Elephas maximus indicus: one gene and its partners. Each later gene encodes a partner of the first gene's protein in a complex. Links are inferred from orthologs where the notes say so. Each region holds a gene or a part of one and is shown in the gene's direction. Other genes may lie near its edges.

Evidence for each region.
Region 2: DNAJB13 (region 1) and ROPN1L share a complex: the UniProt entries of both Homo sapiens proteins name them as parts of the axonemal radial spoke complex. The link is inferred for Elephas maximus indicus from reciprocal best matches to the Homo sapiens genes DNAJB13 and ROPN1L.
Region 3: the proteins of DNAJB13 (region 1) and NME5 are in contact, whole or in part, in a cryo-EM structure (PDB 8WZB), measured with the Mus musculus proteins. The link is inferred for Elephas maximus indicus from reciprocal best matches to the Homo sapiens genes DNAJB13 and NME5. Residues at the interface, in NP_705755.2 of Mus musculus: Thr156, Lys157, Lys158, Thr181, Ile182, Asp183, Arg185, Trp188, Arg189, Gly191, Thr192, Arg193, Ile194, Thr195, Phe196, Glu197, Pro281; in NP_542368.2 of Mus musculus: Glu52, His53, Asn56, Met193, Lys199, Pro200, Lys201, Leu202, Cys203, His204, Phe205.
Region 4: DNAJB13 (region 1) and DYDC1 share a complex: the UniProt entries of both Homo sapiens proteins name them as parts of the axonemal radial spoke complex. The link is inferred for Elephas maximus indicus from reciprocal best matches to the Homo sapiens genes DNAJB13 and DYDC1.

What each region holds. Positions count from the first base shown.
Region 1 is NC_064825.1:48,558,196-48,565,192, reverse strand, and holds the start of DNAJB13 (dnaJ homolog subfamily B member 13), read left to right. Parts: upstream 1-3,996; 5' UTR 3,997-4,026; coding exon 4,027-4,094; intron 4,095-6,997. UniProt on the Homo sapiens protein: Functions as part of axonemal radial spoke complexes that play an important part in the motility of sperm and cilia.
Region 2 is NC_064820.1:1,264,250-1,271,344, reverse strand, and holds the start of ROPN1L (ropporin-1-like protein), read left to right. Parts: upstream 1-4,091; 5' UTR 4,092-4,197; intron 4,198-4,833; exon of another isoform or gene 4,834-4,836; 5' UTR 4,837-4,875; coding exon 4,876-5,006; intron 5,007-7,095. UniProt on the Homo sapiens protein: Functions as part of axonemal radial spoke complexes that play an important part in the motility of sperm and cilia. Important for male fertility.
Region 3 is NC_064820.1:151,200,760-151,207,983, reverse strand, and holds the start of NME5 (nucleoside diphosphate kinase homolog 5), read left to right. Parts: upstream 1-4,208; 5' UTR 4,209-4,232; intron 4,233-4,277; exon of another isoform or gene 4,278-4,647; 5' UTR 4,648-4,691; coding exon 4,692-4,820; intron 4,821-7,224. Other genes in the region: bromodomain-containing protein 8-like, read left to right, coding at 5-73, 2,156-2,333, 2,903-2,953. UniProt on the Homo sapiens protein: Functions as part of axonemal radial spoke complexes that play an important part in the motility of sperm and cilia. Does not seem to have nucleoside diphosphate kinase (NDPK) activity.
Region 4 is NC_064826.1:131,929,903-131,937,749, forward strand, and holds the start of DYDC1 (DPY30 domain-containing protein 1), read left to right. Parts: upstream 1-4,826; 5' UTR 4,827-4,912; intron 4,913-7,847. Other genes in the region: DYDC2 (DPY30 domain-containing protein 2), read right to left, coding at 2,716-2,838, 3,139-3,295, 4,239-4,315. UniProt on the Homo sapiens protein: Functions as part of axonemal radial spoke complexes that play an important part in the motility of sperm and cilia. Plays a crucial role during acrosome biogenesis.

The sequences.
Region 1 (6,997 bases):
AGTAGCATGATATAAACATACAAAAATCTGTTGGATTCCTATACACCAGTAAAGAGAATGGCAAAAAAGAAATCAAGAAAACAATACTATTTATAATTAAAAAAAAAAAAAATAGCCCCTAAAAAAAACAAACTTAGGAATAAATCTAACGAGGGATGTGAAAGATCTATACAAAGAAAAGTACAAATCACTACTGCAAGAAACCAAAAGAGAACTACACAAATGGAAAAACATACCATGTTCATGAATAGGTAGACTCAACATTGTGAAAATGTCAATTCTACACAAAGCAGTCTACAAATACAATGCAATCCCTTTCCAAATACCAACGGCATTCTTTAAAGAGACGGAAAACTAATCACTAACTTTACATGGAGAGGGAAGAGGTCCCAGATAAGTAAAGTACCACAAAGAAGAGGAAAGTAGGAGGACTTGCACTATCTGACCTCAGAACCCACTATACAGCTAAGGTAGTCAAAACAGCCTGGTACTGGTACAATGACAGATACATTGACCAATGGAACAGAATTGAGAACCCAGATGTAAATCCATCCACCTACAGTCACCTGATCTTTGACAAGCACCCCAAGTCCATCAAATGGGGAAAAGACAGTTTTCCAACAAATGGTGCTAGCAAAACTGGATGTCCATCTGCAAAAAAGTGAAACAGGACCCATACCTCACACCATACACAAAAACTAATTCAAAATCGATCAAAGACCTAAATGTAAACCAAAAACTATAAAGATCATAGAAGAAAAAAATAGGATAGGATCAATGCTAGAGGCCCTAATACACGGCATTAACAGGATACAAACCATAGCTAACAGCACAGAACTCCAGAAGATAAGCTAGATAACTGGGCTCTTCTAAAAATTAAACACTTATGCTCATCAAAAGACTTACCAAAACAGTAGAAAGAGAACCTACAGAGTGGGAAAAAAATTTTGGCTATGGCAAATCCAACAAAGGTCCACTCTCTAAAATCTACAGGAAAATCCAATGCTTCTACAGCAAAAAGACAAATAATCCAAATAAAATATGGGCAAAGGAAACAAACAGACACTTCACCAAAGAAGACATTCAAGTGGCTAACAGACACAGGATGAAATGCTCAAGAACACTAGCCATTAGAGAAATGCAAATCAAAACAACAATGAGATAACATATCACCCCAACATTACTGGCAGGAATCAAAAAAACAGAAAATAACAAATGATGTGGAGGCTGCAGGGAGAGTAGAACTCTTATGCACTGCTGGTGGGAATGGAAAATGGTACAACCATTCTGGAAAACGATATGGCACTTCCTTAAAAAGGTAGAAACGGAAATACCATATAATCCAGGAATCCCACTCCTAGGACTATATCCTAGAGAAATAAGAGCTGAATAGACATATGCACACCCATGTTCACTGCAGCATTGTTCACAATGGCAAAAAGAAACAACCTAGGTACCCATCAATAGATGAATGGATAAACTATGGTACTACATACATGCAATGGAATACTACACAATGATAAAGAACAATGATGAATCTGTGAAGCATCTCACAACATGCATGAATCTGGAGGACATTATGCTGAGTGAAATAAGTCAATCACAAAAGGACAAATATTGTATGAGAACACTACTATAAAAACTCATGAAAAGATTTATACACAAAAATAAACAACCTTTGATGGTCACGAGGGTGGGGAGGGGTAGGGATAGAAAAACACAAATAGACAATAGATAAGTGGTAACTTTGGTGAAGGGGAAGACAGTACATGATACTGGGGAAGGCAGAACAACTTGTTCAAGGCAAGGTCATGGAAGCTCCATAGACAAATCTAACACCCTGAGGGACTGAATTACTGGGTTAAGGGATGTGGGGCCATGGTCTCGGGGAACACCTAGCTCAGTTGGCATAACATAGTTTATAAAGAAAATGTTCTACATTCTACTTTGATGAGTAGCATCTGGGGTCTTAAAAGCTTGTGAGCAGCTATCTAAATTACTCCACTGGTCTCACCCTGTCTGGAGCAAGGGAGAATGAAGAAAACCAAAGACAAGGGAAAGATTAGTCCGAATGACTAATGGACCACAAGTACTACATCCTCCACCGGACTGAGTCCAGCACAACTAGATAGTGCCTGGCTGCCACCACCAACTGCTCTGACAAGGATTACATTAGAGGGTCCCAGATAGAGCTGGAGAAAAATGTAGAACAAAAATCTAACTCATGAAAAAAAACAGATTCATTCTTTCTTCTGACAGAGACTGAAGAAACCCTGAGAGTATGGCCCCCAGACACATTTTTAACTCAGTAATGAAGTCACTGCTGAGGTTCACCTTTCAGTCAAAGATTAGGCAGTCTCATAAAACAAAACAAGACTAAATGGGCACACTAGCCCAGGGGCAAGGACGACAAGGCAGGAGGGCACAGGAAGCTGGTAATAGGGAACCCGAGGTCAAGAAGGGGAGAGTGTTGACATGTCCTGGTGTTGGTAACTAATGTCACCAAACAATATGTGTACTAATTGTTTAATGAGAAGCTAGTTTGTTTTGTAAACCTTCATTTAAAGTACAATAAGAAAAAATTTTTAAAGCGTCCTTCTCATATTGAGTTTAATGAGGTGCTGTTTTCCCTCATTTGCTATTTAGAATGCTCTATTTATTGTGTGGTGTAACAGTCTACACCATTGTCTTGGTTATCTAGTGCTGCTGTAACAGAAATACCACTAGCGCATGGCGTTAACGGTTTATTCTCTCACAGTCCAGTAGGCTAGAAGTCTGAATTCAGGGGAAGGCTTTCTCTCTCTGTTGGCTCTGGAGGAAGGTCGTTGTCATCAGTCTTCCCTTGGTCTGGGAGCAACTCAGTGCAGGAACCTCAGGTTCTGCAGTGCAGGACGAGCTCTGCTTTCGGCACTGCTTTCTCGGTGGTATGAGGTCTCCCATGTCTCTCTGCTTGCTTCTGTCTTTTATATCTCAAAAGAGTTTAGATTAAAACACTAATCTTGAAGATCTCATCACTATAACTGCCACTAATTCATTTTGTTACATCATAGTGATAGGATTTACAACACACAGGGAAATCACATCAGATGACAAAATGGTAGACAATCATACAATACTGGGAATCATGATCTAGCCAAATTGACAGATATTTTGGGGGGACGCAATTCAATCCATGGCAACCACTAAAAGTTATCAAATGCCAAAATAAAAAGTGTGGTAATTCATGTTGATAGTATGTACCCTTGATTTTATATGAAGAGAATGACTCTTTACTTCCGTGGTCTTCCTCCCAACAACCCATAACTGCAGTCTAATCATGAGAAAAACGTCAAACAAATCCCAGTTGAGAGGCATTCTACGAAGTACCTGACCAGCACTCCTCACATGGTTAAAAGTTATCAAAAACAAGGAACATCTGAGAAACTGTCACCAGCAAGACGATCTAAGGAGACATAACCAGTAAATGTAATGTGGTATCCTGGATGGGATTTTGGAACAGAAAAAGGAAAGAAATCTGAATAAAATATTAGTTAACAATAATATATTAATATTCGTTCATTAATTGTGACAAAGTTACCATACTAATATGAGATGTTAATAGTAGGGAAACTGGGTGTAGGGTATATGAGAACTCTCTGTGCTATCTTTGCAACTTTTCTATAAATCTAAAACAATTCTAAAATTAAAAAATTACTTAAAAAAATCAGCCAAATGCATTTGTTCCAAAAACTTTCAATTAAAACTAATTGCTGCTCTCCTTAAAAACAAAGAAAATAAAACAGGGTTCTGTGATTCCCTGGTTTCTGAGTTGGATGACCTTTATCAGGACTACAGCGTCAGCCCCAGTTCTCCCAAATGATTCATTCGCTCTTCTAAGAGGCAGAGCAGAGAAAGTGGGTTGCCTAGGAAGGACTACAACTCCCAGAGTGCCCCAGTGTGGTTGTCAGGAGCAACCAAGGAATGCAGACTAACAGCCCTGCTGGAGTCTGAGGGACCATCCGTCTACTGCCTGCCGGCCAGTCAGCCATGGGCCAAGATTATTACTCTGTGCTCCAAATCACTCGAAATGCAGAAGATGCCCAGATCAAGAAGGCGTAAGTTGGGGTGGCAGCCAGGCTTTGGGATGTGCCCGTGCAGGCCCTGCCCTCATCTCTTCCCTACAGAGCCTTCCTGCCTAGCTCAGGGCAGGCAAGTTAAACTTCGTTCCTTCTTTTGCTTCTTGCACATCTATATACTGGCTTTGGGCTGGGCCAGGGTCCAGGTTGGAAATTTGGACACCTCAGCTCCTCAACCTGCTCTCAAGCCATCATTTACCCTCTATGCCCTGGCTTCTCTCCTGGGTACCTCAGTTTTCCTGGCAATGAAATGAGGACAAAGGAGACATTTGAACTTTATCCTGAATATTCTGGAGAACCAAACGATTTGAAACAAGCAGTGAACTGGACAGATGGGTGTGTGATAAATCTCATTCTGGCCATTCTATGGGTTTGGGGCACTGAATAAACTGCATCTCTTAATATGTCCATCAAGTCTTGGGGACTTTGTGGTCCATTCCTAAGAAAGTCTAGGACAGGAGTCAGCAAATTTTTCTGAAAATTTGTTTTTCTTAACACACATTTATTGATCACCAATCGTGAACCAGACAGATGTCCTTTACCTCATGCAGCTTAATTGTATTGGTAAATACAGCTGTTGTGTAAGTCACCACAACTGTGATGAATGTTAGGAAAGGGGAAGTGCAGGGTGCTGTGGAAGCTTATATCAGAGGGAGAAAGACCCCTTGGGAGGCTGTCCTGGTAATCAAGACAACAGGTGAGGCTTAATGTAGGACAGTAGGGTGAAGAGACGAGGGGGAATGGACTTGGCAATCAAATGAGTCATTGGAAGATAATGAAAAAGGGAGGGATCTGGGATATCTCAATCAATGGAGTTTGGGTAGTGATAAAACCCACTGTCATCGAGTGGATTCTAACTCAAAGCAACCCTATATGACAGAGGAGAACTGCCCCATATGGTTTTCAAGGAGCGGCTGTTGGATTCGAACTGCAGACCTTTTGGTTAGCAGCTGAGCTCTTTTTTTACCAGGGCTCCAAAATTCTGGGGTATTTACACTGCGGGAGCCCTGGTGGTGCAGTGGTTAAGTGCTCCACGGCTAACTGAAAGGTCAGCCGTTTGAACCCACCAGCAACTCTGCAAGAGAAGGATGTGGCAGTCTGCTTCGGTAAAGATTAACCTGTTGCCATTGAGTGGATTCTGACTCATAGCTACATTTATTGAATGTGCAGGTGCTGTTCTGAGCACTCCATCATTATTTCTTTTAAATCCTCACAACAACCCAGAGAGGTAGGTGCCATTATTGTCCCAAGGCCACACACCTAACAGATAGCAGAGCCAGTATTGAGATACCATGCCTACTATAATTGCCTACTGTGGGCTCAGCCCTGAGCCAGGTCCTGTAGGGGGTCTAAGTGAGGAAAATGAAGAGTCTACAATGTGGTTGAAGAAAATTGAGAAACGTGTAACACAATTAGAGAACAGTTCAGGACAGCATGTGATGTCACCCACTGTTCAGGGCATTTTATTGGCCCTGGGACCCATCTAGGGAAAGGTCACCAGAAGGGAGGGCAGCTGTCCTGCAGAGAGATAAGCAGGGCTTGATCACTGGAGAGTTGTTGTGTGCTGTTTAGTTGGTTCCAACTTATAGAGACCCTATATGACAGAGTAGAACCGCCGCATAGGGTTTTCTAGGCTGTAATTTTTACAGAGGAGCCCTGATGGTGCAGTGGTTAATTGCTCGGTTGCTAACTGAAAGGTCAGTGGTTTGAACCCACCAGCTACTCCGTGGGAGAAAGATGTGGCAGTCTGCTTCTGTCAATAGATGTCCTAGATGTCTGGCTTCCTGATGCATCCTGCTAAAGGAGAGCTCAGAGCAGGAGACTGGAGGAAGGAGGAGAGTGGGGCTGAGGAATTTATTCCAAGCTCCCTTCCTATGGGTTATCTTTGGGTTGGCTGTGTCCCTTAACTGACGGTCACAGCTCCCCCGAAGGCGCCTGTTCTTTCCTGGGTTTCAGTAACACTCCCTCCCCTCACACCTATAGGCTCAGAAGCAGTAGGGGTGCCTCAGTGTTACAGCTCAGGGTACTATCATTTGTGGCTTCCTTCCACCTTGGCCACACATTGGTGAATGGCCCAGTATTACCCAAATTACCAAATCCATGCTGTCTCTTTTCTCCTGGGACACTGATGATACAGATCTCAGATGCTGTAGGCATTGCTGCACCGAGTGGTGGGAGTGGCCAGATACAGAAGTGAAAAACGAAAGAGCACAGGACTGGAAGACAAGGCAAAAGGACCTAACATTCACCGAGTGCCTCTTTGTACCAGGCCCTTGTATACCTTATTTAATCTAATCCTCCCAAGAAGTCTGAGTGCCGGTTCAGGTCCTCCGAGGAGCAGACACCACGATAGGATTAGATGTACAAGAACTGAACTGGGGGAAACACCTGTGAAGGGTAAGGGGGAGGGAGCAGAGTATGCAGGGAGTGCTTCAGACCGTAGTGTAGGTCTGACACCTATGAAAAGAGATAGGGAAGGAAGATTGGGCAGGAAATTGCTGCAGTGTGGTTCTGGGAAAATCTCAGCTAGGCTTGCAGGGAGTCCTCAAGCAAAGGTTGCCTTTTGGAGGAGTCCCTTGTCCTGCCCTAATATTCCCACCATGTTTAGACATTGATCAGGAGCAGCTTAAGTAAAGTGGAGCCGTGGCACAGATGCCCAGAGTGGCTATAGCTGGGCTGTCATTCAACTACACTCCCCACACCAGGTTCTCTTCAAGGAAATCTGAACATTGCACCTCCACGGCCATCACAGCCTATGAGGTCAGGGTTATCATCCCTGATTTACACCAGGGAACATCAAAGCTCAGGGGGGCTACTAAAGTAGACAGCACAGCCAGATCTGAACCATGGTCTGACCCTTAAAAATAGGTCAAATATTATGA
Region 2 (7,095 bases), on another chromosome or scaffold:
CGTTTCAGAAACGCATCAGCACATGTAGATAGAAAAAGCCGCCAAGTCTTGGGCACAGGCTGCCCACCACACTGCCTTCCTGCCTCCTGCCCCCTGCTCCCCTCAGCCCTCCCCCACAAAACCTCCTGGTGAAGCCCGCCAGGAGCCTGGTTGGAGGGAGGTCCCTTTTTGTATCACTACGTTGTTTAATCACCTTTTGAGACTTCTGTACGTGTTTAACGGTGCCCTTGCCTCTCTGCTTCTCTGTTTGTTCCGTAACTCGGCTTGGGAACAAGCAGCTTCCCACCCCCAGCCAGGAGCCCCATCATCCCAGGCAAGGAGCCCCGTCACCCCGGGGGCGGGGGGAAGGAATGCCATCATCCAGCCAGGAGCCCCATCACCTTTGGGGGGAGCCCTGTCACCCCTGGGGGGAAGGAATCCCATCACCCAGCCAGGAGCCCCGTCACCTTTGAGGGGGAGCCCTGTCACCCCCAGGGGAAGAATCTCATCACCCAGCCAGGAGCCCTGTCCCCCGCCCCCCCCCACTTTGCTCAGTCTGATGGGTACCCATGGGCTGCACAGATCCACCGGGGGACGGAACAGAAGAGAGTCCAGAAGTCCAGCCACCGCACACAAAGGGTTGATCTCCCTCCATTTCTGCTCCATCTCTCTCACCTTCCCAGCACACGCCTCCATGGCCATCCTCCCACCCGCCATTCCCAGCCTCCCTCTCCAGTTCTCTCCGGTCCAGTCTCAGCCTCACCCTTCCGCAGGCTCATCCTGTAAAGGCCACAGTGGACCTGCCAACCCTGTAGGGGGACCTGTCTGACACGGCTGCTCCGCTCCCCGAGATGCTCCCCTGGCCACCCATACACCTTGCTTGCTCCATCGTCCTGCCCATCTGGACCCTCCTGCTTGTCCCCCAGCCTCGGCCACGCCCGGCCTCGGCCACGCCCGAATCCCACCTTCTCCCAACCCAAGATGTACACGTGCAGCCTCAGATGCCCAGATTTCCCAGATGGGACAGGTCCAAATGCAGTCCTAACACCCCCAAACCTGGGGCTTCCAAACTTCTCACTCAGATGCCGCCAGACCCGGGGCTCCCCAACTTCCAATCACGCGTGGTAAGCATGTGGATGGATTGGAGTTGCTACATCCAAAATGTTGGAAACACCCTGGCACTTCTCTTTCCCATGCCCCGAGTCATCAAGAGCAGGTCTTTCCTCTTCAGAAAGAATTGTCATCTGGCTGCCTGACGCCAGCTCCATGCTGGCCGCCTGGGTTACTGTCGTTTTAAGACAGGGAGCAAAGGCCCTGAGATCGGAGAGTGCCTGTTTGAGAAACAGCGAAGAGACTGCTGTGGTTAGAGGAGAAACAAGTAAAAGAGAAATAAACTACACTATCAGGGAGGTAAGAGGGGGTTCAGTGTGGAATATAGAGGCTTAGGGAACAGAGGGGCCCCCAAATCTGCAAGCAAAGTAACAAGAAATAGGCCAGGGCACAGAAACAAAGCCGTTCCCCAGAAAATGGGGCAGGGTATCTAGAAATAGCCCGCAAACTTCTTTAAAGTTGCCTTTCAGAAGCAGTTGGAGAAAACCAGGCCCAGGGACATGCGCAGAACATCCACCTGTGGCCGCTGTGTGGCCTTCCACCAGGGGCAGTGAGGGGACACAGCCCCAGCCAGGGGATGGAACCCGGACAGCGGGAGACTGCACAGATGTGACACCCCATAATAAGTCCTGCTACGAATCCAAGAGGCCTCCAGGACAGGAGCCACCTGGGAAAGCTGCTGCCCGCGCACCTTAGTTAACATAGCCCCACCTGTGTCTATGAATAAACATGAATCCTTTCCCACCCAAGAACTTCTAAAACTCAGGCCCGTCTTTTGTTCTGTGAGCTGAGGGTATGCGTTGCTCTAGGCCCTCCTCGTCTCCGCTTGCAAGCCTCTTCAACAAAGCTTTGCTTGTGTGGAAAACTATGTGCCTTACCTACTCATTCTTGACCAGTCAGAGGCAAGAACCTTATCCCGGTAACAGTTTCTCCTGTGAGAGCCTTGCTCTCTCTCTCCTCCTTCCGTATTCCACAGAGTCCACAGTGACCCTGTTAAAATCTCAGTCAGGTCACACTCTTCTCAGCCCTCCGATGGCCCCTGTCACACTCGGGCTGTCACACTTGGGGTCAGAGCTCTTGTCCACATGGCCTTCATGGCCAGGCCAGGCCACTGGTGCCTCCCCGTGACCACAGCACCCCCTGGCGTTCAGGTCAGGCCTCGCGACGTGGGCGCTTAGGCTTGCCCTGCCTTCCCCAAGGCTCCTCAGGCCTCCTCACTTGTGTACCCCAGGAGGGTCACCTAGAACTGCAGTTTCTGGCGCCTTCCTGTCTCCTCTCCCTGCTGTTTTTCTTTTCAACACTTACTCACACTGCGGTTTACCCATCTTGTTTATTTGCATGTTTTCCCCACTTGAATGTAAGCTCCAGAGGTTGATCTTCTTTCTTTTGTATTACATTGTTTGGGTTATCCCTGTGTTCTCTGAACCTAGAACAGTCCCTGGCACATTTTGGCACTCGGTATGTATTACTGCCACCCCACCCCCGCCAACATCGTCTGTCAGTGTGTGGCACTGTGAGGGCTTGAGTGTTGCTGTGATGCTGGAAGCTATGCCACCAATAATCCAAATACCAGTAGGGTCACCCATGGTGGGCAGGTTTCAGAGGAGCTTCCAGACTAAGACAGACTAGGAGGAAAGGCCTGACAGTCTACTTCCAAAAATCTGCCACCGAAAACCTTAGGAATCACAACAGAACACTAACTTGCTTGCTTTGGACACGTCATCAGGAAGGATCAATCGCTGGAGGAGGAGGTCATGTTTGGTGAAGTCGAGGGCCAGCGAGGGTGAGGGAGACCCTTGAGATGGATTGGCCCAACAGCCACAATAATGGAATAAACATGCCGGCGATCCTAAGAATGACTCTGGACTGGGCAATGTTTTCATTCTACTGTACACAGGGTCGCCTTGAGTTGGGGACGCTATCTATCTTGTATTGCTGAGAAATAAATGGATTCAGAATCGAAATAATCTATAAATGGTTAAAATAAAACCTGGAAGCCAGCCACATTCTCCAGACGCACCAGTTACCGGTGGTACCCATAAGCAAGTCGTTGTACCACAGGGCCCAGGTTGATGCACAGGTGGTTCTCCAGGGTATCTTTCCACTTCGGTTTTCGTGGCATCTCCAGGTCGGCACTACAGCTGCCTCCATCTCAGTTCTGGCTGTGCTGTGTTCCGTCGTGGGGCTCGATGGGCCACCATCACTTGTTCCGAAAGGCAGTTAATACACCACGTTATTGTGCGCTGTCGCGGGCGCTCTTGCCCACATAGCTTTGTACACGCAGGTCAAGGTGTGCTCAGGATAAACTCCCAGGAGGAAGGCTGCTGCATCTCCAATACGGCCCAAGGGCCCCCTGTTCACGGGGTGAGTCCGCGCCGTCCCTGTCTCATCAACACTGATGCTCACTGCTCTACTTGTCAGTGCTGCTGATCTGGGAGACCGTGTGTGCGTGCGTTCGGTGTGCGCGCCTGGGGGTGTGCGCGCGTTCGGTGTGCGCGCCTGGGGGGGTGAGTGTGTTCGGTGTGCGCGCCTGGGGTGTGCGCGCGTTCGGTGTGCGCGCCTGGGGGTGCGCGCCTGGGGCATGTATGTGTGTCCACATTGGGGCGATACGCGCGCGTTCGGCGGGCTGGACCACGGGAGGTCGGGGGCGTCACCGCCTGGAGCGGTCCCCGCGGCCCCATCCTCCGAGCGGGGTGAGGACCCAGCAGAGCGGCCTGGAGCGCGGGTTCCTAGGGGCGGCCGGAGCCGGCCTCACGAGGCAGGTGGCGCTCACAGGACACCGTGGGCGACGACTCAGCAGCACCGACCGCGTGGGGCGCCATGCTCTGGGCCGCACTGCGCAGGCGCACGCCTGACCCGCCGCCTACCGGCCCGCGGTGACAGTGCACGTGCGCGCCCCTCCGCTGCCGGGCTCGTGCGCATGCGCGGTCTCAGCTCCTCGGACATGTGCGCCTGCGCGGTGTCGGGGTTAGGGGGGTCGCGCGCGTCCTGGTTGCCTGGATACGGATGCGCAACAATAGCGGCGGCGTGCGCTGCTCTAAACCGGCTTTGGGGTGACGCTCGAGAGGTGGTTGGTCCACATTCCCCGAGGAGCCGGAGGAGGAGTCGGTGAGATCTCTCGTCGTCCCCAATCTCGTCCCGGGACCCCAACCCCAAACGGGGAAGGGGTACGCTGACCCCGAGCACCGTCCCCGGACCTCGACCCCAAACACAGGGAGGGGGAAAGCCGTCCCCGAGCCCCGGAACCCGACCCCAAGCCGGGGATGGGGGACACTGACCCCATGCTCCGTACCTGGACCCTGACCCCAACCCGGGGATGGGGTACACTGACCCGGTGCTCCGTCCCTGGACCCCGACCCCAAACCCGGGGATGGGGTACACTGACCCCGTGCTCCGTCCCTGGACCCCGACCCCAAACCCGGGGATAGGGGGACACTGACCCGGTGCTCCGTCCCTGGACCCTGACCCCAAACCCGGGGATGGGGTACACTGACCCCCTGTTCCGTCCCTGGACCCCTACTCCAAGCCGGGGATGGGGGGACACTGACTCCATGCTCCGTCCCTGGACCCCGACCCCAAATCCGGGGATGGGGGACACTGACCCCGTGCTCTGTCCCTGGACCCCGACCCCAAACACGGGGAAAGGGGACGCCGACCCCAGCCCGACCCCAAACCAGCGGTTGGGGGTGAATGGACCCCTGGGCCATGCCCTGTGCTCTGCGCTGACAACCCACCCTCCGCCAGCAGCCACCTTGGTTCTCCCACCTGGCCCCGTCTGCCCACGCGATGCCGCTTCCCGACACCATGTTCTGCGCGCAGCAGATCCACATCCCTCCGGAGCTGCCCGACATCCTGAAGCAGTTCACCAAGGCCGCCATCCGCACGCAGCCTGCGGACGTGCTGCAGTGGTCCGCGGGGTGAGCGCGGGGCAGAGGCCTACCTCCCAGACCCGCCCAGGGCGTCCCGGTCCCGGGGGTTCGGCCCCCTTCTCGAGGATGGGCCCCCTTCCCGGGGATGGCCCCACTGCCCCACGGCAGGGAGCCCAGAGCAGTGCCTGGCAAAGCTCTTTACTGTGGGTGAGGTACGGACCTAAGTACCTCCTAGGAAGCCTGGTGGCTGATGAGCCCTGAGGCCAGCGTGGTTCACAGCACACGGGAGCTCTAGGGCACTTTCCACAAAAGTTTCTAATCTTAGCTTACCAGTCAAAAGGCCCTAGAGCCTTTACTGCAAACCTTTAGATGTTGACCCTAGAACCTTTACTGCAAACCTTCAGGTGTTGACCCTGGAACCTTTACTACACACCTTTAGATGTTGACCCTAGAACATTTACTACAAGCCTTTAGATGTTGACCCTAGAACCTTTTCTACAAGCCTTTAGATGTTGACCCTAGAACCTTTAGTACAGACCTTTAGCTGTTGACTCTAGAATCTTTACTACAAGCCTTTACATGTTGACCCTACAACCTTTACTACAAACCTTTAGGTGTTGACCCTAGAACCTTTACTACAAATCTTTAGGTGTTAACCCTACAACCTTTACTACAAACGGTTAGATGTTGACTCTAGAACCTTTACTACAAACCTTTAGATGTTGACTCTAGAACCTTTACTACGAGCCTTTAGATGTTGACCCTAGAACCTTTACTACGAGCCTTTAGATGTTGACCATAGAACCTTTTCTACAAGCCTATAGATGTTGACCCTAGAACCTTTACTACGAACCTTTAGATGTTGATCCGAGAACCTTTACTACAAGCCTTTAGATGTTCACTCTAGAACCTTTACTACGAGCCTTTAAATGTTGACCCTAGAATCTTTACTACAAGCCTTTAGATGTTGACTCTAGAACCTTTACTACAAGCCTTTAGATGTTGACCCTAGAACCTTTACTACGAACCTTTAGATGTTGACTCTAGAACCTTTACTACGAGCCTTTAGATGTTGACCCTAGAATCTTTAGTATAAGCCTTTAAATGTTGACCCTAGAACCTTTTCTACAAGCCTTTAGATGTTGACCCTAGAACCTTTACTATGAATCTTTAGATGTTTATCCTAGAACCTTTACTACAAGCTTTTAGATGTTGACTCTAGAACCTTTACTACGAGCCTTTAAATGTTGACCCTAGAATCTTTACTACAAGCCTTTAGATGTTGACCCTAGAACCTTTACTACAAGCCTTTAGATGTTGACCCTAGAACCTTTACTACGAGCCTTTAGATGTTGATCCTAGAATCTTTACTATAAGCCTTTAAATGTTGACCCTAGAACCTTTTCTACAAGCCTTTAGATGTTGACCCTAGAACCTTTACTACGAACCTTTAGATGTTGATCCTAGAACCTTTACTACAAGCCTTTAGATGTTGACTCTAGAACCTTTACTACGAGCCTTTAAATGTTGACCCTAGAATCTTTACTACAAGCCTTTAGATAATGACCCTAGAACCTTTACTAAAGCCTATAGATGTTGACCCTAGAACCTTTACTACGAACCTTTAGATGTTGACCCTAGAACCTTTACTACGAGCCTTTAGATGTTGACCCTAGAACCTTTACTACGAACCTTTAGATGTTGACCCTAGAACCTTTACTACGAACCTTTAGATGTTGACCCTAGAACCTTTACTACGAACCTTTAGATGTTGATCCTAGAACCTTTGCTACAAGCCTTTAGATTTTCCTGGAAAGCTCTTCGACCCTTTTTGGTGAACAGGCTTGAGCAAAAGCTCAATTTAACCATGACCGGAATTAGCATAAACAGATTTAAGATTTTTTGTAACTAGCTTGTCAGTTTTGCTGACCTTCTCTAAACCGTTCAAAGGGAATTTCACCAGTTTGGTAGAACTGCTGTAACAAATGACCACAGACTTGGTGGCTTCAGACACCACAGATTTATTCACTTAGAGCTCTGGAGGTCAGAAGTCTGAAATTAGTTTCACTGGACTAGAGCCAGGTGTCAGGGCTGCTGGGCTCTGGGCCCAGCCCCCTGCTCACAGGAGCTGGGATTC
Region 3 (7,224 bases), on another chromosome or scaffold:
CCAGGTTCAGCAGTCCATTTCTGAAGCCTGTGTCAGATAGGCAGGCCCCAGGATACAAAGATGTGGTGAAAAGGTCAGTGGAAAAGGGGTCAAGAAAGGTTGGTTGCTTTTATATCTGTCTTTTAATTCCTTTTTTTTTTTTAAGTTATTTTGTTGTCACTGCTGTTGAGAATATACACAGCAAAAACATACACCAGTTCAAGTTTCTGCATGTATAATTCAGTGACAGTGATTATAGTCTTCAAGCTGTGCAATCATTCTCACTCTCCTTTTCTGAGTTGTTCCTCCCCCAGTAACATAAACGCACTGCCGTCTAAGGTTCCTATCTGATCTTTCAAGTTGCTGTTATCAGTTTGAACCCATATAGATAGATCTCAAAAGAGCATAAGGTTCAAGGCAGACATTCTTTACTAGTTAAGCTAAACTATCATTTGGTTTTAAGAAGACTTCAGGGGATATTTTTGGTTTAAGGTTTAACTATTATCTCCGGGCGATAGTTTCAGGAGTTCATCTAGCCTCAATGGCTCCAGAAAGTATGGATTCCATGAGAATTTGAAATTCTGTTCTGCATTTTGATCAGGATTCTTCTATAGGATATTAGATCAAAACGTTCAGTAATGGTAGCCAGGCACCATCCAGTTCTTCTGGTCTCATGGCAAAGGAGGCAGTTGTGCATGGAGGCAGTTAGCTGCACATTCCGTTTCTTCCTCCTACTCCTGACTTTCCTTCTTTCTGTGTTTTTCCAGGTGAATAGAGACCAATTGTTGTGCCTTGGATAGTGTCTTTTCATTCTTCATTTCTCATCTATTAGATAATTTCTTTACTTCAGCTAAAAACGTAAAGTTATGGTTAGCTTGGTCTTTTCATTTGAGAAGGAATGAAGGGAACAAAAGGATACTCTAATTTTTGTTTTTTGGAGTTTTTTTTCCCCCATATTTTTAAGTAATATGATCCATTTATTATAATCTCACCATTAGCCTTTGGTAGATTTTGATAGTGTTCTTTTGGAGCAGAACTTGAAAAGGAAAGCTGTATGACCAGGCAGTTATATAAGTATTCTAAGGCAGATACGGTAATCCAAAGGGATGTTACTAACACTGGTTGTTTGCAGTATTTTGAATTTTGATAGCATAGTATATTTAAAGCACTGTTGTAAACCAGTGTGTTTATTAATAGAGTATAGAAGATCAGAAAGGGACCTTTGGAAAAAAACACTTCATATTAAATGTAAGGAAACTAAGGCTTAGAGGTGGTCCTGACTTATAGTTAATAGCAGAGCTAGAACTAAACCCCAAATTCTTACCTCCCAGTTTAGTCCTCTTTCTACACTGTTGTGCCTTCTCTTACATACCCACTATCTCTGCCTCATTGAATAATAATTTATCTTATTTACCTGATTCTCATTCTTTTTACTCCCATGAAAGGAGAAAAAAAAATTAGCTTTGATTTATACAATAATAAAAGTAGATTAATTACCTAGTATAAGATTGTACATTGTAAACAGTCAGTCAGTAACTAGTATGTGACAAACTGACCATCGGATTCTTTACAGCTTTGGTACCTAGGGCTAGCTTTCCTGCTGTGATGCTGTTGTTGTTGTGTGCCATTGATTCTGACTCACAGCGACCATACATAACAGAGAAGAACTGCCTCATAGGGTTTCCTTGGCTATAATCTTTATGGCAGCAGATTGCCAGGGCTTCTCTTCTGCAGAGCCACGAGATGGGTTTGAACCACCAAGCTTCTGGTTAGCAGCCACGTGCACCGCCAGGGCTCCATTCTGCTATGATAGTTGAGTGAAACGCCTGGGCTTGTGGGTTCTGGAGTCAGGCTGCCTTTGAACTGGAATCCAGGCTATGTGACTTTGGACAAGTACTTAACCTCTTTAGATCTCAGTTTCATCTGTCAAGTGGGGATAATACTTACCTTATAAGTTTATTGAGAAGATTGAGTTAATATATAAAGCGCCTAGCATAATGCTTGGTCTCTTGAAAGCAGTCAAATATTAGCTGCTGTTGTTATTTTATTATCTGGTGGGTTTGTTATTTTTACTATTATTCATTAAGAGCTGGTTAGTTCTCCAAGAGAACATGTTAGGTTCCACATATTCCACATGAATGTTTGATTTCCCCTGGTTTCTCTTGGCCACCTGCAGACCCATGGACTTAACTAGCTTGAAGAGAAATCTGTCTAAGGGACAGATTCGCACCATGGCCCAGTTTCAGCGGGATCTGATGCTGATGTTCCAAAATGCTGTGATGTACAATGACTCTGACCATCATGTGTACCACATGGCTGTGGAGATGCAGCGAGAAGTCTTGGAACAGATTCAGGTACTATATTTAGAGAACTGCAGGAAAAAGGAATATAGCCTCTGGAATCTAATTTCAGAAAGTCTTTGAGAATAAGGTTGATACTGAGATGACCTGGTGTTCCCAGAGTTTATTTATCTTTAGGGATAAATCAGGGCCCTGAAGGAAGGATTGACATTGTGCATACTGACTTGGAACACCCCGAGCTCTAATAAATTAGCAAGTGAAGTAGTCCAGAAAGGCAGGCAGCAGCGAAGAGCTCTCAGGAGAGCTGGGGATAGATAAGTAATGGGAGATCCTGCATCTAGAGCCTCAAGTCAGAGGCGTAGATGTGTAAACCAGCGGCTAGAGTCACTGGCCATTTTTGGATTACTACATCTGTTGATATTAATGTACTTTCACACTGTCCCATCTTTAGCAGATAAGACATAGTAGCCAGATGAGGACATTTGAGAATTTCTTTCTGGGCAGCATCATACTTTAAAGAAAGAAGTACAGTCAAATTTATATGCAGAAGAAGAAATAAATTGCATTTAAATCTCTGTAGCTTTTAAGATTCATAGCTTGCTCTCTGTGCCTTGACCCTGTAGGTGCTGAGTATTTGGTTAGATAAAAGAAGAGATCTAAGTAGTCTGGAATGACAACCAACCAACCTGGTGGATGATGGGAAACCTATTTTGTTAACCTGGAGCTGCTACCCTGATCTCTTCTGGAGTTTGGACCTCTTCTTAAGACTCTGATCCAGAGAAGATTTCAGTAGTTGTTTACCACTTCTCCATTTTCTTTTCTAATAAAATTAAGACCTTTAACTCATTACCAAGGAGTCAAAGATGCCTGTGAACATACTATAAAGAAAAGAGGAAAGCTGAAATTTGGGTTTATGCCACAATTGTTGCCTACAACTTTGTTCTACAAGCTTAATTTAGAGGTAACTAGATTAAGCCTGTTATTGCTGATCTATAAATAAATGTTATTTCACAAACCTCAGACTATTTTAATGATTAAAGAAACCAGGATAAAGAGGATAGCACAGTCTGTGAAATGAAGAAGATACTTGATAGGGGTTTTCTTACATATACTGTCTGGAACGGGGTGGGGTGGGGTTGGGGGAGATCTTTGATTTGTCTTCTCATTTGTAAAACCAAAAAACAAACAAACCAACCTGTTGAGTTGATTCCGACTCATAGTGACTCTGTAGGACAGAGTAGAACTATCCCATGGGGTTTCCAAGGCTATAATCTTTACGGGAGCAGACTGCCACATCTTTCTCTTGTGGCAGTTAACTGCCGAGCTCATAACCACTGCACCACCAGCGCTCTTCCTCATTTGTAAAGTTAGAATAATTGAAGCATCCCTCAAATAAGTAGGAAGAAGAAATAAGATAATTATGAAGAAAATGTAAAAACAACAGCAAAAAAAAAAAAAAAAAACCCAAAAAGTGTAGTGCTCTTGGAACAGATTCAAGTACTGTATGTGGAGAACTGCAGGAAAAAAGGAGTATAGCCTCTGGAATCTGATTTCTGAGTCTTTGAAAATAAGGATGATACTGAGATGACCTTGTGTTCCCAGAGTTTGTGTTTAGGGGTGATTCAAGGCCCTGAAGGACTGACATTGTGCCTACTGGTTTGGAAAGCCCTGAGCCTCAGTAGGTCCAGCACTAATAAGTTGTGAAGTGAAGTAGTACAGGAAGGCAGGCAGCAGTGGAAAGCCTTCAGGAACGGGAGGTCCTTCTTCTACAGCCTCAAGTCAGAGGGCTAGACCTACAAAAACGTCTGGGGCTAGTTCCCTTTCTTGGTTAAAAGAAACCAGGCAAGCGTGGAAGAACTGCTAGAATTGGCCCTCTGCAGCCACCATCCGGGAGCTGGGGCTTCTGGTCTCCTAGCAACAACTTGTGGTCACTGAGTTGGGTGCGGTGCTGTGGTGAGTGCCTCCGGTGGGTGCAGCCCAGAGGGGTCCTGAGGACCCTGCTTTTCAGTCAGTCCTGGCTCTAAATAAGCAGTCCTCCCTGTGGGGAGGAATTGCTTCTTTCAGGCAGCCAGCCAGTAGAGGCTGCCCACCCTTCCATGCCCCTGCTCCCGCTCCCGCCCCTGGCCTCCGCCCCGCGCGTCTGCCACAGTCCCAGGCCTTCGGGCAGCCCCTCGGTCCTTCTCTCGGTGAATGCCTTACAAAAACCCAAGGCATGACCTGGACGCAGAATAGAAATATCACTGGAACAATGCTTATAGAAAAATATATGGCCATTTCGGACTTTATAAACGAAAATCAAGCACCTGATATTGCTATTCTTAATCACAATTACATTAATTTTGGGGTGGGTGGGGTACTGTCATTGCAGTTGATACCTGTCAAGAAACTATTAAATTACTCTGAAAAGCCAAGATGGAGATATCAATGCCCCCACCTCAGATATATGTAGAAAAAACTCTGGCCATTATCAAACCAGATATTGTTGACAAAGAGGAGGAGATACAAGACATTATTCTTAGATCTGGATTCACCATTGTTCAGGTAACTTCTGGGCAGGGTGATCGTGCTTTTGGCTCTTTTTTATCCTTTTTTTTATGTAAATAACACTAATCCATTTAGATCCTTAGTGCTTAGCATTAATTTTTGTAGTTATAAAAGTAGCACGTGATAGTTGTAAAAAGCTTTTTTTTCATGGTTCAGAAGGATATAAAATGAGAAATAAAAGTCGGTTTTCTTTCCCTCCAACCCCAAGTCCCAGTCTCCAGAGGCAACCACTGTTAACACTTTCTGTTCTTCCAGGGATTATCTATGCATTTACAAATATTTTTCCCTCTTAAAAGGGAATAGTTTCTTTCCCTTGACCCCCTTAACAAAGTCCCTTAGCACTCCGGATATATATCTGAATCTATCTCATTCGTCCTATTTACAACTTCTGTGTAATATTCCTCTGTATGGATGAACCGTAATTTATTTACTTTTAAAAGTTCTCTGTTGATGGTCTCTTAGGTTGTTGGTATTTCTTCAGTTAGTATTTTTCATTACAAACATTTAAGGTTTTAAAGCCTTGTATTTGTTCTGCAGTTGGTAAACACTGTCATTTTAGAGACTTGGAAATGAATATAAAAAGAGTATTGCTGAAGATTATCAAATAGAATTGAATATTTTTAATCTTCCTTTTTGTTCCATCCTTTCTTGAATTTCCAGTTTTTTATTCTCTTACATTTATACAGTGTTATGTTCCCTGTTTAGTCAGTGTTTTAAAAAAGAGAAAACTTCAGTTTTCAGGAAATATATAGGATTTCAGTTGAGCTTCAAAGAATAGGTATAGAGGCCAAAAGTAGGGGTGGTGTAAGAAAAAAGTAAGGAAACAGTACAGGAAACAGTAAGGAAATATGTAATATAATTAATAGAACTTTTTAATAAACAGTGTTAGGAAAACTGGGTAGCCATTTTTTTAAAAGTAGAATTCAAATATTATATACTTGGATAGACTCCAAATGGATCTGAGATTTAAATATTTAAAACTTAAACCGTATAAGGTTTAGAAGAAAAGAGGGATGAATTTCTTCTTATCTTTGCAGTGGGATAGCCTTTTTTCCTATGACTTAAAGTTTAGGAGCCATAAGAGAAAAGCTTGGTAAGACTACATAAAATTTGAAAACTTCTGCATGGCCAAATAAACCCCATACGCAAGGTCAAAACACAAAATGACAAACTTGGAAAAAAGATTTGCAACTCGTATCATGAAGTACCGATCTCCATAATGTATAATGTGTTCCTAGAAAAGATTAACAGTAGAAAGATGCATAGAGCACATGGATGGTCACAGAAAAAAGAAAAACAAATGGTTTTTGTTGTAGGTGCCGCCGAGTTGATAATCGACTCATAGCGACCCCATGTGACAACGTAGAGCTGCCCCATAGGGTTTTCTAAGCTCTGATCTTTATGGGAGCAGATTGCCAGGTCTTTTCATCAGAGCTGCTGGGTGGGTTTGAACCACCAACCTTTTGGTCAGTAGCCGAGTGCTTAACCATTGTGCCACCAGGGTTTCTTAAATGTGTAAAAAGATGCCCAACCTCTTAGTAGGAAAAAGTGAATTAAAACTATACTGAGATACCATTTGGCTAAACTCTAAATGGCACAACCCCTCTTGAAGGGAATTTGGCAATTATCTACCAAGATTACAGATGCATTTACTCTTTGACTCAGTAGTCCTACTCTTGGGAATCCCTCCTATAGAAACTCTTGTGTTAACATGAAATGGCATGCATACAGGTTATTTTTTGCAGTGTTATTTATTTAGTATAGTCCTACTCTGACACGCATGGGGTTGCCATGAATTGAAATTGATTCAACAGCAGCTGGTTCAATTTTTTTGTTTTATTTACTAGTGAAAGATTGAACACAATCCAGCAGTAGGAGATTGGTTAAACAAACCCTGGTGAATCCACCAAATTGAGTACTGTGCAACTCAGTGTAAAAAGAATAAAGAACCTGTGTGTGTGCTGTTATGGAAAAAAGCAAGGTGCAGAACTGTGTGTGGCAACCTTTTGTGAAAGAGGAAGTGTAACATTCTTGTTTGCCAGTATTTGCAAAATGAAGTACTGAGAAATAAATTTAAAAAAAGGTTGCCTATTGAGGTGAGAGAGAAACAGGGTGGATTAGAATGAGATTTTTCAGTACATATCTTTTTATACTGTTTTGGTTTTTTGAACCTTGTTATTGGTGGTTCAGTAGTAAAATTCTCCCCTTCCGTGCAGGAGACCCAGGTTCAATTTCTTGTCAGTGTACCTCATGTGCACTGGGAGCCTACGCATTGCTATGATACTGAATAGATTTCAGTGGAGCTTCCAGACTAAAACAGACTAGTAAGAAAGACCTGGCAATCTACTCCTGAAAATCAGCCAATGAAAACCCTATAGATCATGTCAGGGATTGAATTGTG
Region 4 (7,847 bases), on another chromosome or scaffold:
AGTGATCCTACATGACAGAGTAGAACTGCCCCATAGGGTTTCCAAGGAGTGGCTGGAGGATTAGAACTGCCAACATTTTGGTTAGCAGCCAAACTCTTAACCACTATGCCAGCTAAAACAGCAGGCATGCTGAAATCTTATGTAACCCACGCTAGGTTCCCAGGTTTCCCAGCACTAGTGACACCAAATCTGAAGGTGACCAATAGCAAGGAAACGTTTTCAATCCACTTCATGAGCCAATCAGAAATCAAAATTTAGAATTTCATCTTATTTGATGTACCTTCACCTCTTTCTACCACTCGTCTGTCAGTTTATCTTACTGTGGTGGCTTGTGTGTTGCTGTGATGCTGGAAGCTATGCCATCAGTATTTCAAATATCAGTAGGGTCACCCATGGTGGACAGGTTTCAGTGGAGCTTCCAGACTAAGAAAGACTAGCAAGAAGGACTGGTGATTTACTTCTAAAAAACTGGCCGTTGAAAACCTTGTGAACAGCAGCAGGACACTGTCTGAAGAATGACGTATTGCACTGGGCAAAACTGCTGCAAAAGACCTCTTTAAAGTGTTAAAAAGCAAAGAAGTCACTTTGAAGACTAAGGTGTGCCTGACCCAAGCCATGGTATTTTTAATTACCTCATATGCATTTGAAAGCTCGACAACGAATAAGGAAGACCAAGAAGAATTGATGCCTTTGAATTACAGTGGTGGGGAAGAATACTGAATATACCATGGACTACAAGAAGAACGAACAAATCTGTCTTGGAGGAAGTATAGCCAGAATGTTCCTAAGAAGCGAGGACAGGACAGCAAGACTTTGTTTCACGTACTCTGGACATGTTATCGGCAGAGATCAGTCATTGGGGAAGGACATCATGCTTTGTAAAGTAGAGGGTCAATGAAAAAGAGGAAGACCCTCAATGAGATGGATTGACACAGTGGCTGCAACAATGGGCTCAAACATAGCAACAATTGTGAGGATGGCAAAGGACTGGGCAATGTTTCCTTCTGTTGTACATAAGGTAGCTATGAGTCAGACCCAACTCAGTTCTGACCTGCAGCTAACAACAACATAACGACCACCTGTTTGCCTTCATCTAGCCTTTTCATCTTTTACTTGGAGAGTAACTTGCACCTGAATGTCATGGCTCTCCCTTGCCAGGTAAGCAAATTCACTGTTGTTTTCGATTACTGTTTGATTCTCTTTATTTTTTTCTAACAAAGGGAATCAATTTCCATAACTACAACTTGCATATAAACTCTTTCCTAACACCGAGAACTTGCACTTGGTCCAGGCATCGTGCTAGCTCTCATTTCCCATTTTTCCTTACAATTACTTTTGTCTCACACCTGGCAAAGGAATGACATGCCTTTTACTCATCCAAATATTATTAAGGAATATTGCTACAGGGTTTAAACCTCCTGAGTGTAATAAAAAATACAAGGGGACAATTCAAAATATTGGCACGAGCAAAGTATTCTTTAGTAAAGGCACCATAAAACAAGGGTGGCATTTCATTTTGGGGTCTCTCTCTGCCTTACATATATTTCTGTTAACAGTGAAGCATGTGTTAGAAAAGGGCTAGAGTGGGTGGCAAGGTGAGGGCAACTTCTATTAAATGACCTCATCTCTCCCATCCTCCAATTATTGTTCAAAGACTGTATCATCCCAGAGGGAGAGGTCCCTTGGACTATGTCAAATAATGGCGTGAAACCATCTTTCTTTTGATTTAATATATTTATAAAACATCCAGACTTCAAAAATAAATCTTAACTGTTATTAGGAAAGTTGAGCATATTAGTATAAATGTACATAAGCTTGTAACGTTTTCACATCTTAAAAAAAGTTGGGTTTGGAAATCCTAACCAAAAGGTCAGCAGTTTGAATCCACCAAGTGCTCCTTGGAAACTCTGTGGGGCAGTTCTACTCTGTCCTATAGGGTCGCTATGAGTCAGAACAGATTCGACAGCAATGGGCACTGGGTTATACAACTAGCATTGCTTATGCAAAAGCTAGTGAATTGTACAGACTGCATTAAAGATTTCAGTTCATAGGACATAGTGATAGTTAAAATGATCTCAGGTATCAAGTCCAAAATTGCAATTAAGTCAATTCCCTATTCAGGTGTACTTTGTAGAATGCATAAAATGACCCAAGACACTGTTCAGGAGATTGTGCCATAAAACTGTGGAAAATAAAAGATATGCTAGTCCACAATTATTTCCAATTATTTCAACATTACAGCTTCATAGAGGAGGCATCTGTGGCTTGGTGCAAAAGTAAGTACGTGCAAAAGTAAGTAGCACACAATGAACAAAATACATATATAAATAGCTTGCATGAAATAAAATATCTGAACTATACACTGATAACCATATTTGGTTTCTGAAAAATATTAAACAAATTTTTAAAAGAAGGCAAAGCATCTTGTATGAAGCTATATTTTTCCAGGTGAAGTTATTAGATTTCTTAAAAATCTAATTTTTTAAACTAATAACATCAATGGTATTTCCTGGAACCTAAAATGGAACTGCCCTTTAAGATTTCTTTTTCATAGACAGGGATTGTAAGATTGATTTACAGGTAAGTATGTAACTACAGAGCAAAAGGCGGGCTACTGGGAGGCTCACGTGCACTGGACTGCGGCAGGCTACTTGTTGACGTCCTGGTCTCCATTTGTGTGATGTCTGTGCCCAGTGCTCATTTCCTCCTTCCTACCTTGTGATCCTTTTCATCTTTCTGTTGAATTTGATACTCTCCTTGTTTCACCATTTCTGCCATTTCTGTTTCCTGAAGACTCTTGTCATACTCCTCTTTCAGCTGGGTCTTCTCTTGCATGCTCTAGGTGATGTGACAGAGCTGAATCAGTTCAGTACCCAGGTGGCAAGTACAAAAGAGCCCGCCCTCCTTGCTGACAGACCTCAGCCCTTCATGCCTGCCCAGCTCGCTCCTATAACTAGCTTTATTCTCCTAGTAGCTCTAAATCCATCAACTCCACAGCATCCTTGGGTTGGATTCTCTCTGCAGCCCCCAGACTATCCACACTTCTGGGCCCAAGCCAAGAAACTCCCCAGGCAAGCTCCAGAATTACTCTAGAGAAAGCTGGAAGCCCCCCAAAGGAGAGCCAGTGCACATACATACCTCTTCTTTTGCCTTTGTGGTTTTCCGATAATGATAAAGCCAGTGAGCCAAGTACTCTATTGGGTCACTGGGCCGAACCTTTGCCACCTCTGCCAGTGCCTGGGCCAGGCAATTTCCAAAGCATCTCTTCAGGTACCCCGTTTCCATTCTGTGGGGCCTGGGAAAAAATCCAAGCAGAGTCCCACTGTTGGTTTAAGAAATGGACACATTCTAACCAACTCATGATTCATTTCAGGATAAATATGAGATGTTTCTGGATTCCACCCTGCCCCAGAAGAGCCAACAAAGGAGACTTGCCAGTAGCTCTTATCTTCAAGTGAGCTTTTTCCTAATGCTCTCCAGCAAACAAAAGGTTCTAGGGGGTCATCAGGCCTCAGAGGAAATACATTGATGGTTAGGGATGGCTACAGGCCTCCACTTACACACTTACACCCTTGGGTTAGGGAGCCGTGGTTTTGTGACACTGGAACCCACAGTCACCTATGACCTAGATCCAAACCCGAACCCACTGCCCTTGAGTCAATTCTGACTCACAGTAACCCTACGGGGCTGAGTAGAACTGCCCCATAGGGTTTCCAAGAGTGTAAATCTTTATGGAAGTAGACTGTCATATCTTTTTCCTGCAGAGAAGCTGGTGGGCTTGAGCCACTGACCTTTAAGTTTGCAGCTGAGTGCTTTAACCACTGCACCACCAGGGCTCCTATGACACAGATAAAACCCACAGATACAAAGGCTTATTTATTTCACAAGAAGCCTAGGGCAGGAGGAGGCAAACTAACAGGCCCTGCAGCTACTGCTGGTCAAGGGCGCTGCCACACCTAATACTATACTCCACTTTCTACTACTTAAGCAGAAAACTACTTTATTTACTTTTGATTTACTTGCCCTTTGATTTACTTTTAATCAGATTTCGAGAGCTGGAGGTAATGTAGCCTGGGTCATACTGGCTTCCAACCAGTTCGTTCAGGCCCCAGGTATACGATTCAGAATCCACATTTTAACAAGATCCCCTGGTGATTCTTATGTATAATAAGCTTTGAGAACCACAGCTCTACTAGTGGCTCTTAGAACTGGCCCCTAACCAGCAGCTTTAGCATCACCTGGGAACTTGTAAAGAATGCAAACTCTCAGCAGGGGTTCCGTCCCAACCAATAGGTTCAAAGACCTGTAACACCATACGTTTACGAGGCAGTATACGGTGGCAGTATGAACGTAGACTGTGGAACCAGACCAAGTTCCAGTCCTGGTTCTCCTGTGATCTTCAGCAAGTCAGTTTATCTGAGCTCCCGCTTCCTCATCTGTAAAAGAGAAATAACAAATGTACCTCAAAAATTGAGAGGATCAAAAGAGATAATACATGGTGACTAGTACATAAAATCAAACCAGTTGCCGTGGAGTTGACTACCTGGAGAAAGCACTTACCCTAAGCAGGCGCCCCTCCCTGCTTCTCCCGGAGCCCACCAACCCTTCCTCTCCCAGAATCCCTCAGCTCACTTCCTCTGCTCCTCCGACGCTCCTCACAGTGTCTATGCCGCATCCCTCCACCCCGCGCGCGCTCGCGTGCGCACCGCCTCCTCTTTATGTCGTGCTCCTCGCCCTTTCGCGCGCTCCTGGGCTCACCCACCCGCGCGCTTCTCCTCTCTGTGGCGCGCTCCCTTTGGCTTCTGGGGTGCGCGAGTTTGCTGCCTAGCGACGGGACGCGGATAGCCGGCAGGAGTTCGGCGCGTGCGTGCGGCGTGCGCATCGAGAACGCAGGCGCAGTGGTCCGAGAAAGGTTCGTCCCACTTTCCTTGGGTCGCAGCGGGCAGAGGCGGTTCTGACAGACGTTGCTAGGAGCCTAGGGCTAAGGGGGCGCCCAAAGGCCATGTGAGGGTTAGCTCCGCACCTGGGGTCCCGTTTGCCAGCTGCTCTTCCTCCTCCTCCTCTTCCTCCCTCGTCCTCGGGGAGCGCGCCTTGTGTAGGGATTTGCCAGATAAAACACCGGACGCCCAATTAAATTTGAACTTCAGATAGACAACGAAAAACATTTCAGTACCCTGGTGGCGCAGTGATTAAGAGCTCGGCTGCTAACCAAAAGGTCGACAGTTGGAATGCACCAGCCACTCTTTGGAAACCCTGTGGGGCAGCTCTACTCTGTGCTATAGGGTAGCTATGAGTCGGAATTCGACTGGACGGAAATGGATATAGTGTAATACAAAATTATTCGCTGTTTAGCTGACATTCAAATTTCACTGGGTGTCCTGTATTTTTATTTGCTTAATCTGGCAGCCCTACCTGGATCTGTCTCCCTGGTTTGGGCGAGGCATCTCAGTCTGTCTCTTGTGGCACCTTCTCCAGATTTGAGGCGGCTGTTTCTGTGGGAAGGGGCTTTCTTCTTTTGATCCAAGATGCTGCCTATTGGTGTATATGAAAAATAGCATTCCTTTCAACAACTCTGTGAAATGGGTACTATCACCATTTCGTGGACAGGGAACAGATGCCAAGTGAGGTGACGAGCCCCGCCCAAGTCCCACTGATGATGGGCTGCAGCACACCGTGGACCCGTTCCTACTCTTAATCTCCCGCATTAGGGACCCTGCCCCCTTCCCGCGTGTTTTATTTTTGAGGAGCAGCGGCAGGAGGCCCTTCCCTCTTTTATGTTACTCCACTTCAAATGAAGTTGAGATATCTTTGTAGTTTCTTCTGTTTTTAGAGAAGTACAGTGAAGATACTGTGTTCCAAAGTCAGCTGTAATCTTTTCCCTGTGTGGTTAGGACACCAGTGCCAACCTGATGGGGAGTTAGGTTCATTTGTACCAGTTTGCTTTTGGTCTGTAGAGTTTTTAATTTTTACACACACGGCATTCCTTTCTCACTGCTGTTGCTAATACAAAGGATGGCATGCTATATATACTTGCTGCACCTTGCTTTGTTAATGTCCTGAATGTCCCTCCCTGTTTTAGAGGTCTTCCTCATTCTTTTACATCTGCATAGTAATTGATGGTGTTGCTGTGTATCATCGATCTCCTGTTGATGAATAATTGAGTAGTTTCCCAGTCTTTGGCTATTCTAAGCAGTGGTGCAAAATAACCTCGTGCATATGTCGTTTCGTATTTTTACAGGTGTATCTTTGAGCTAGGATCTTTGAGCTAGGATCCCAGAGTGAGATTGTGGGGTCGCAGAGAAGACATGTGTAGAGTCTGCCAAATTCCCCCCATACCATTTTGCACTCCCATCAGCATTGCATGAGAGAAGAGCAGTATTGGGGGTCTATGCATAGATCTCAGGATGTCAGTGTTTCTGAGATCTTAATATAAAATGTCAGGTGCATTGGACTAGGAGCAGGATGTGGACAGCCTGGCACTCTGTCCCCATGCCTGTACACTAACTCCTATACCACGCCTTTTCTCTTACCTGGAAGGCTCTGCCTTCTCTTTGCTGTGTTGACCGCATGCTCACTCCTATACCAGCGCCTTTTCCCATACCTGGAAGGCTGTTGCTTCTCCTTGCTGGGATGACTTTTACTGTTCCTTCAAATCTTAGTTTGAACATCACCCCTCAGGAAAGCTCTCCTTGACTTTTCCAACTGGGTCAAATCCTCCTGTTATCTGGTTTGCATAGTACTCATGACAATTTCAATTTTACATTCATTTATTGATGTTAATATTTGATTAATGTTTGTCTTCCCTACTCACCTGTAAGCTCCATGAGGGCAGAGACTGTGTTTTGTATTCCCAGCATCTGTCAAGGTGCCTCAGTTTGTATTTGTTGAATACAAACACACACAAAAAAGCCATTGCTGTCAAGTTGATTCTGACCCATGATAACCCTATGTGGTGCAGAGTAGAATTGCTCCATAGGGTTTTCTTGGCTGTAGTGTTTATGGAAGCAGATCACCAGGCCTTTCTTCTGTGGTGCCACTGGGTGGGTTTGAACTGCCAACCTTTTGATTAGTAGCTGAGTGCAAACCATTTGTGCCACCCAGGGACCATATTGTTGATAGGCATTCAGTATATATTTGTTGAATAATGAACACATTTCATCAGCTTTTTCGAGGAGTCTAAATTCCATAAAAGGGCATGACCAGCAGAGATGCAGGGTGTTCAGGACATGTCGGGGCAGCAGAGAGATCTGGAGGCGCCTGAAAGGAGAATTGGGGCCAGATGGTCAGGAGTCTATTAAGCTGTTATTTGAGGACTGGCCATGGAGAGTCATGGAATTTTTTTTTTAAGAGGTGGAATATTGTGATGTTTTATAAAAATGGCTCTCATGGCTTGGAATCAGCATCTTAGTTCAGTCAGAGTGAGGGCTCTGGAATCAAGAGTTGCGTACTGCAGTAAGCAAGGGTCAAAGTGAGCAAATTCCACCTTCTCTGCTAACTGCATGGTAAGGATCAGCATGAATCCAACCCCCAAATTGTGGAAATGGATCTAGTCCTCACCTTCCCACTTCCCCATCCTCATTGCATGCCAGCCACCCAAGTGGCACACGCTCTCTTCAACCCTACCCACCCAGGGGTAGGTCAGAGCTCAAGTCAAATGGACACCGTCCTTCAGACCAGCAGCCTTCTCATATACCTATCCACCCAAAGCTAGATTAGACCCCACAATTTAGACACTGTCCTTCATATAGGCGGATGCCAGCCCCTGCTGGTTCTCACTGCCCCTGTGGATTTGTTAATTTGCTGGAATGACTCAAAGAATCTTATGGTGAGTGTACCATACTTAAAAC